3 linked regions of the Kluyveromyces lactis genome follow. The protein of the gene in region 1 interacts with the protein of each later gene in a pairwise test. Links are inferred from orthologs where the notes say so. Each region holds a gene or a part of one and is shown in the gene's direction. Other genes may lie near its edges.

Evidence for each region.
Region 2: the proteins of KLLA0_D15543g (region 1) and SIC1 interact in a two-hybrid assay, tested with the Saccharomyces cerevisiae proteins (2 studies listed by BioGRID, with this or other methods). The link is inferred for Kluyveromyces lactis from reciprocal best matches to the Saccharomyces cerevisiae genes CLB2 and SIC1.
Region 3: the proteins of KLLA0_D15543g (region 1) and CKS1 interact in binary tests that used the Saccharomyces cerevisiae proteins (3 or more experiments, as listed by UniProt). The link is inferred for Kluyveromyces lactis from reciprocal best matches to the Saccharomyces cerevisiae genes CLB2 and CKS1.

The regions. Positions count from the first base shown.
Region 1 is NC_006040.1:1,312,451-1,315,922, forward strand, and holds KLLA0_D15543g (cyclin family protein), read left to right. Parts: upstream 1-1,309; coding exon 1,310-2,929; downstream 2,930-3,472. UniProt on the Saccharomyces cerevisiae protein: Essential for the control of the cell cycle at the G2/M (mitosis) transition. Interacts with the CDC2 protein kinase to form MPF. G2/M cyclins accumulate steadily during G2 and are abruptly destroyed at mitosis.
Region 2 is NC_006040.1:497,205-499,732, forward strand, and holds SIC1 (cyclin-dependent protein serine/threonine kinase inhibiting protein SIC1), read left to right. Parts: upstream 1-1,142; coding exon 1,143-1,946; downstream 1,947-2,528. Other genes in the region: BOS1 (Bos1p), read right to left, coding at 1-318, 434-436; GTPase-activating protein RGD2, read right to left, coding at 2,205-2,528. UniProt on the Saccharomyces cerevisiae protein: Substrate and inhibitor of the cyclin-dependent protein kinase CDC28. Its activity could be important for faithful segregation of chromosomes to daughter cells. It acts in response to a signal from a post-start checkpoint.
Region 3 is NC_006039.1:1,374,570-1,376,712, reverse strand, and holds CKS1 (cyclin-dependent protein kinase regulatory subunit CKS1), read left to right. Parts: upstream 1-1,162; coding exon 1,163-1,561; downstream 1,562-2,143. Other genes in the region: HSL7 (protein arginine N-methyltransferase), read right to left, coding at 1-805; protein kinase MEC1, read left to right, coding at 1,970-2,143. UniProt on the Saccharomyces cerevisiae protein: Binds to the catalytic subunit of the cyclin dependent kinase (CDC28) and is essential for its biological function.

The DNA.
Region 1 (3,472 bases):
CAAGTTGCTTAATTATCGTTTATAGCAATTGTCATCTTTAAAATGGTGCACAGAGAAAACACAAACAGCATTTTGCAGCTGGAATTCACCAACGATCGCGCGTATGAATAGTCTTAACTTCGCTAGGGAGAAAAACAGCCAGTGCCAGGAATAGGGCCAGAGCCAGGTCCTGTGTTTGCACTCATGCTACGGCCTGATTTCTTTATTGATCGAACACTTCCTAATAAGGAAAAAGGTAAACAACTATGCATATTTACGTTTTAGGAAAAATGTAAATAAACCGATGGACTTTTCACAAAAGCTCATCGCTTTGTAATTTGGTGCTACCTTTCTGACAAAGAAGCATCAACTGACTATATGAGCAACTGAGCGGATTGGGGGGATAGGGCATCACTGCGCATACTCCATTGCAGTATTCCTTTGGGTACTCCATGCTTGTGGTTACATTTTTCTTTTGGTTATTATTACAGAATGACGACAACGTTCGGTGACTGAGGGAATCCTCATTAGATTCTGTGAAGGGGAGGGGCGTCTGCTATGAAGCCATAAATCAACGTAGAGGTTCTTTGTAGACATTTAAAATTTCTTTTGTGCTACTTCTCCCGACAGTTGAAGCATCTGTAGTGAGGTATTCTTCTTTATCTTAGAAGTAAGAAGTTTTTGCTGCGTCTGTCTCAGTGACGATAGAGAAAAAGTAGGCTTTAAGCGAACGATCACAAAAGCTTCTCACGGTTCTTAAAGCTTTTTCGGTGAATCTTTCCATACAACTGGTGAAGAATTTGTATTGTTCCGATTGGAGTGAGCCTGTTTTTTCTTTTTGAACTTTTCTGGTTTGTTGTCCCTTGCTGTTTCTTTATTATTGTTTTGTTACTTCCTCAATAGGTTAGTTTCCAAATCGAATCTGAATCTGATCCAAGCTTTTCAGATTCATTATTTCAATAAAGAGGTTTTAGCTTTGAACAATCCCAGTCCATAGTTGACAATAGTCGATAGGAAACATACTACCAAGAGTATCGCCAGCGGTGAAGACATTGCTATCGGTAGAGACAGTGATAGCAGAAAGCAAGTTGATCAAGAGATCCTACGTCTTGCTCCTAAAAAGAATCGCAGAGTTTTTTTATACTGGAATCAAGATCTGTTGGTATAACTCTTAATTATTGATCTCCTGCAGAACTCATTGGGAAATTGGTAATAGAATAGTTGACTGAGTTGATTGCTAAAGCAGGTACTAAAGAAAGTGCAATTGTCTTTCTTTCCGATCTCTTCTTTTTAACAGAAACTAAATTAAAGACAATTCTGTCAAAGCATTATGTCAAAGGATAAATATGATAGAAGCTTGAAAAACTTGAACATGCTAAGAAGACCAGTGTTAAACAATGTTACTAATACTACTGAATCTACGTTCGGTAAAGTTTTGAGGCAGGCTAAATCAAGACTGCAGAATAGCAGGACGAATAATCTTCCCCAGGGTACCGCAAACTCGTATTCGAACACAAAACCGGCACCATTGAGAGATGACATAATGGTACCTGAGGATAAGGAGAATTACAATCCGCTAGCTAAGATTGATGAAAGAGAGGAGCTGGATTCTAATCTAGTTCATAATCACAAATCCCTGGGTACACAAAAGCATGTTACGATCGATGAAAGACAAGAAATAATTGGATATTCACATCTGGATACTGAAAAGTCTGCTCCATCATCATCAACATACAGCAGTGAGCATACGGAAAATGACGGCGTTCACGACGTCAACCCAAATGTTCAGCGTTCAGATAATGAAGCTGATTTCAAGATGCAAACCACAAACGCTTTTCACGAAAACGTCAACGATGGCAGTGACGCAACAGATGATGCCAGTAGTGGAAGTAAGAGTAGCAATGAATGCCCTGCTGTTAACGTCGGAAACAGCCTTGCGCCTATGCCAATTGACGAAAATGCTAACAATAGCGCTAGCAGTGTCGAATTGAGAGCAAAGCAACTTCAGGTTGAGGATTCGAAAAAGAGACCAATAAGCACTGTCGTTGAACAAACGTTACCTAAGAAATTTAAAGTATGTGAAAAGGGTAAAGAATATGAATGGGAAGATCTTGATGAAGAAGATATCAATGATCCCTTCATGGTAAGCGAATATGTTACAGATATCTTTGAATATTTGCACAGATTGGAAATGATGACTTTGCCTAACAGACACGAACTATTCAAACATGCCAACATTCAGCAAAATAGGGATATTTTAGTTAACTGGATGGTAAAGATTCATAACAAGTTTGGCCTACTGCCGGAAACCTTATATTTGGCGTTGAATATCATGGATAGATTCCTTTGCAAAGAGTTAGTACAGCTGGAAAAACTACAATTAGTAGGAACAGCGTGCTTATTCATCGCTTCGAAATATGAAGAAGTGTATAGCCCCAGTGTGAAACACTTCGCTTACGAAACGGATGGTGCATGCGATGAAGAAGAAATCAAAGAAGGAGAGAAATTTATTCTAAAAACGTTAGAGTTCAATCTCAATTATCCAAATCCCATGAATTTCCTAAGAAGGATATCTAAGGCAGATGACTATGATATACAATCCAGAACATTGGCGAAATATTTGCTTGAGATATCCATAGTTGACTTCAAATTCATTGGGATTCTACCCTCATTGTGCGCCGCAGCATCTATGTTCTTATCGAGAAAGATGTTAGGAAAGGGCCAATGGGATGGAAATCTAATACACTATAGTGGAGGATATACCAAAGACGAACTAGCTCCCGTGTGTAATATGGTTATGGAATATTTGGTCCAGCCTGTTGTACATGATGAATTGTTTAAGAAATACGCTTCGAGAAGATTTATGAAAGCATCGGTAATTTCTAGACAATGGGCAAAGAAAGTCATGTCCCACAACTATGATATAATGACACTACATGATTCAGAATAAATCACGAGATTCGATCATTTAAAGAAACCATGATCCTTCCGGCCTTAATTACTGAGTATGATTGGCCATTGTAGTGCCAATATGAAATGTTATCGAGGGACTTTTTCCTATAAGAAGAAATTCGAATCACGGGGTCAGAGATATGGAATCAATCTGATCCAATACTCAATTAGTTTCTGGGAAGTGGAATAGTACATGTTGCGCGTTAAAGGGAGGCATTCTAAAAGCATACTAAACCCAAAAAAAAAAAAAAACGATAACTATACTAATACTAATCATAATAGAAAACAAACATTGTAATAATTAATCTAGCCAACCCACATGTGTCAATGTGTTTTCCATTCAACAGATAAAATGAGGATTTAGACCTTAGTGAACCCTTTACTTCAATTCACTTTTAATATTTCACCTGCTCAAAAACTCAGAAAGAGTTCTCTCAGGATCATCAGTATCAGCATTATGTTGCAATCATAGGTATACCCACCCCTTACCCTTTAAAGTATAACCACTTCAAATAATTTACTTCTTATGTACACTTAGCAT
Region 2 (2,528 bases), about 820 kb from region 1:
CAACTGATCTCTCGCATTAATTTCTGAGTATTTTTGCTTCAATTCGGTAAATTTCTCTTTTGCATCTTCGTAATCCTGTGTTAAGGTCTGAAGTCTCGTCTCATACTTTAGTTTAGTTTCGTCGTTGTCATCTGAACTATTTATTTGATATTGCTTGTATTGTTCCTTGTACTGATGAAGCGTTTTCTCGAAAGAAACAAGGGTTGTGGCGATCGCCCCTTGCAAAGAGATCGGCGCTGTTACGAGCTCTTTCTCAAATTTACCCAAGTCTTTATTTAGAAGACTTCGCTGCTTGATGGCATGATTATACAACGCGTTCTAGTGATATCGTGGGAAACAATAATTAAGGTAAGTTAGTAAATAAGTAACACATACGCGACGCGTGTCTATAAATGTAGAAATACAATTAGAGCAGCGCTCCAGCGAAACATACCATCTTAGCCCTGTTGTGATCGCAAAAATTCTTGATCGCTAATGAAGATCCAAAAGATTCAAGAAAGGAATACTCTTGAGAAATACAGGAAAATGCTGAGTCAAACGTTGAGCGTCAATCGTCAATTCTGATCGATCTGAATTATCCCAATGCGTATGAATGTTCCATAAACTTTCTTAGTTTCCAGTGGTTCCACTGCTCACAGACGCAATCCTTGTTTAGAAGTTATTTACTGCTACTCAAGTATGACTGCTAAATTGTTGCTGGTTCAATATTATTAGTGGTTCACATTAAAAAAAAAATTAAAGATGCTGGTTTTGAGTCTCACATATATCTATATATAAAGATAGTTTAACAGCGAACCATATCCAGCATAGAGCGGTTGCATACGCACCTAAGTAATCGAATCAGAGTCTCTTCATATCAAATTCCTTCTTGACGATAGTGAGGTTACTGGAAACTGGTTTCAACCTACTCTGCTTTTTGCTTCATTATAAGTTGCCAGATTTTCAGTCCGTTTTGTTTTAGACAGAAAAAGGGATATCATCGGTATAGTATACATTCTATACCATCTTTGCTACTTTTCATTTAGATCTCATCAACACACCGATACATCTGAAAACAATATCAATAGCTTTCAATTGGTAATACTAGAGTTTATCCTCTTTTTTTTTTGCATTCTACGCATTACACTCTTATTTCCATAATAATGACCCCAGCTACCCCTCCAAGTTCTAGGAATAAGAGATCAAATAAGACAGATTTGCTGCTCGCAACTCCAGAGCGAGCCGCGGAATCTGATTCCTCTGGCATGGTTACTCCGGGGACAGTTAGAGTAAAGGATAGATTGCAGCCACCTACTAGACCCATGAATTTAACAAGTCCATGCCCGGCATTAAAGACACCTGAATATACCCCACATAAGAACAAACATACGAAACGCAGGATAGAGTTTGACCAGGAGAAGTTACAACCTGTCAGTAGGGTCTTGTTCGGATCGGATTTCCAAGTAGAAGAAACTTCAAACAACAGGACTTTGCTACCACCAAAGAGAACCGGTATAATGGAGTCTTTCAAAGGCGTTCAAAGTTATAATATCAATGATGAGTATGCTGTCAATAACAAATTCAAACTTGCTAAACAAGAGCCAGGAACTCCAAGTGACAAGATCACCACCTTTGAACTTGCTAGAAAATGGCATAACGAGTCTGGTCTGAATACATCGCAATCAGAAAACGAAGAAGAAAATATTCATATTGAACAACAACCTACGGCAGTCAACCAACATAGTAATTTAGAGAATCCATTTCTTTCGAATAATATTGCTGATGAAAAACTGCGAAAAGAACGTAAAGAGAAGATGCTACTTGAGGACCCTGATTTGGAAGATACAATCACTTATGTGAATAAAGGAGGGAAGGTCGTTTCTAAAAGACATTTGACTGACGATGAGAAACAAAGGTTTAAACCTACGAGACTCTTTGCTGAAGAAATAGATAGGCATGATGGGTAGGTAAGACACATGAATAAAACGGGTTTTTATTTTTTATTTTTAACTATAGCTAACGGTACCGACACAATTCATAAGGAAAGAAGGGTATGGAATTCCCCTGTAACACTACATAACAAAAACTGCTAAAACATCATATTTATAAATACAATACTTACGATAATTTTCGTAGAATATTTCAGTGAAATAAGATTGTCGTTTTTGATCGTCGCAGAGTGTTAATTCTATGTAAAAGTCATATATATTAACAAAAACCCTTCATCAACCCCTGGATGATGGATTTGATCCTTTTCTCTTGAGTTCTTTGAAGATTTTCTTTCTATGCCTCAACAAATCTTCAAATACTTTGTATCCAAGTTCATTAGCTGTTGGCAGAATTGGATGTATTAGGCAATTTGCAAACTCTTGGCTAATGGCATCCCGTAAATTTTCTGCAAGTTCTTGACTTTCTTCAGATTTATTCATTCTAATGATTTCAATTAGTCTCTCGAAATGGGTTGTGATCACATCTAAGGTCACCATATTGGATTTTGATAATGTGGATAATGCAGTGGTAAGACCACGGACCCTTTGGTTTTCGGTTTC
Region 3 (2,143 bases), on another chromosome or scaffold:
CCATACCATGTAAAACGATAGCTAGTTCGCCAAATGTTGATGCGTTACCGTTAACACGTTGGAACTCAGTGATTAAATGCTGATTAAATTTATTCAATACAGGGTAATTGTATTGATTTGTTGTGAATATGGATGCAGAGATCAAAAGACATGTGACAGGTTCGCTCAGCCATCTGTTTAGCACAAAACTGGGAGTCTTCTGTCTAGGTAGAGCTAGAGATACAGTCAATTTAGGCTCGTATCCGCACATTTTCCTGATCGTGTTCCACAGTTCCCAAGTCGAAAGTGGATCTGAATCTTCAAACAAAGGTAACGAAATAGATATTGTCGGACACGCTTCTTTAAAAGTATCAAATACTGTACACAAAGATTGTGCGTAGTAATGAAGCGTGTGTAACTTTTTAGGAGGAGCTAAGATAACCTGTCTGATTCCAACGAAATTTGCATAATGCAATTCGTGCTCCAACACTTGCAAAGATAAAGTCCGGACATCAGCATCATGGCTCTCGAGCTCTAAAAAGTAAGAGACCAATCCAATATATGAAACATTTCCATTAGATGGCAATACCCCCAGCTCTTGCAATTGAGGAGGATCTAACTTTAGTTCTTCATTCCATCCATGACCGTGATCTCGAAAATCTTCAAACTTGGCCTTCATGGCATCCTTGTATCTGGTATTTGTCAAGGGCAGCAGCACATAGTCATAATTCTCTACTCTTTTATCTGTAGAAGAAGTTCCAAGAACATCAGCGGAATGTTCACTGTGAGGTTTGATCCCGACGAAAACATTACTTCGACTTGCCATTTCAGCACATACAAACACACAAACGCAGCACGCAGAACAGTTTCACAACAACAGTCAAACGTTTATTGGTAAACCCTTCTTCAGCTATACCGTAATTATGGTAGACACTACACCAGTGATAGCTCTGTGTCCTATTCTTTTACCTCATCTCTGACCATCAATAGTGACGGATCTGGTTTCTGTCCTAAACAATATTTATTTTCATTTTTTTTTTGTAAACAATACTATTTTAATACCTAAGATCTTTTCAGTTATGCTAAAGACATGATATGTGATGAGCGAATAAGATCCAGCATCAGTAGTCTAGGGTTAATTAACACTCCAATTGTATAGCTTAAGTTGTGATCGAATCTAACAATGTATTCGACGCACGCTTTCCAAGGCAGAAAGCTTTCTGATCAGGAAAGAACGAGAGTTCTCGAATTTCAAGATAGCATTCATTATTCACCAAGATACTCCGACGATACACACGAATACAGACATGTAATGCTTCCCAAGGCCATGCTAAAAGTGATACCTTCTGATTATTTCAACGGAGACACTGGTACTTTGCGAATCTTAACAGAAGACGAATGGAGAGGGTTAGGAATTACACAATCTCTGGGATGGGAACATTACGAATGCCATGCGCCTGAACCACATATTTTACTATTTAAGAGACCACTGAATTACGAGGCTGAAATACGTGCGGCGCATGCTGCCGCACAGCAGCAGCAAAAATCAATTGCTGCAGGCCAACAAAGTCAAAATATATGAACTACCCACTAAAGACTTTAAAATGAAATAATAAGAAAATCGTATTCCAGTTTTACGCGTTACACTGTTAATAAGAGAGAATAATGTTTCCCCAAAGATCTGCAATTCCTGGCTGCACACTTTGTGTAAGTTAGTCTTCTGTTGTCAAACTTGCAAATGGCTTAAGACGCCTGAATTGTACTTCTGGAGAAGTGTTTAGCATATGTACATACCACATTTATGTATGTGTTGAGATTCCTTATTGATACCAAAATTTGTATATAAGTCAAATTATAAATAATGAAACTAACCAAAAACAAACGCTGGACTATGAAAGAAACACAGTTTTCTCTCGTTAGGGCGTCCTAGGTGAGTGTGATTGAGAGTGCAGTTGCCGTGTAAGAGTAATATCTTCTCAGCGTATAGGAAATGGATAATCCTAGGGTAAAATATCTGGAAGAACTGATACTGGCGTTAAAATCAGCAGGAACTGTAGGAAATGGTATAGAGTTAGATAGCACTTTGCAATTAGATGAAAAGAATGGGAAATTACTACAGACATTGTTGAAGAATACGCAATCTACGAATACGGATGAGGTGATC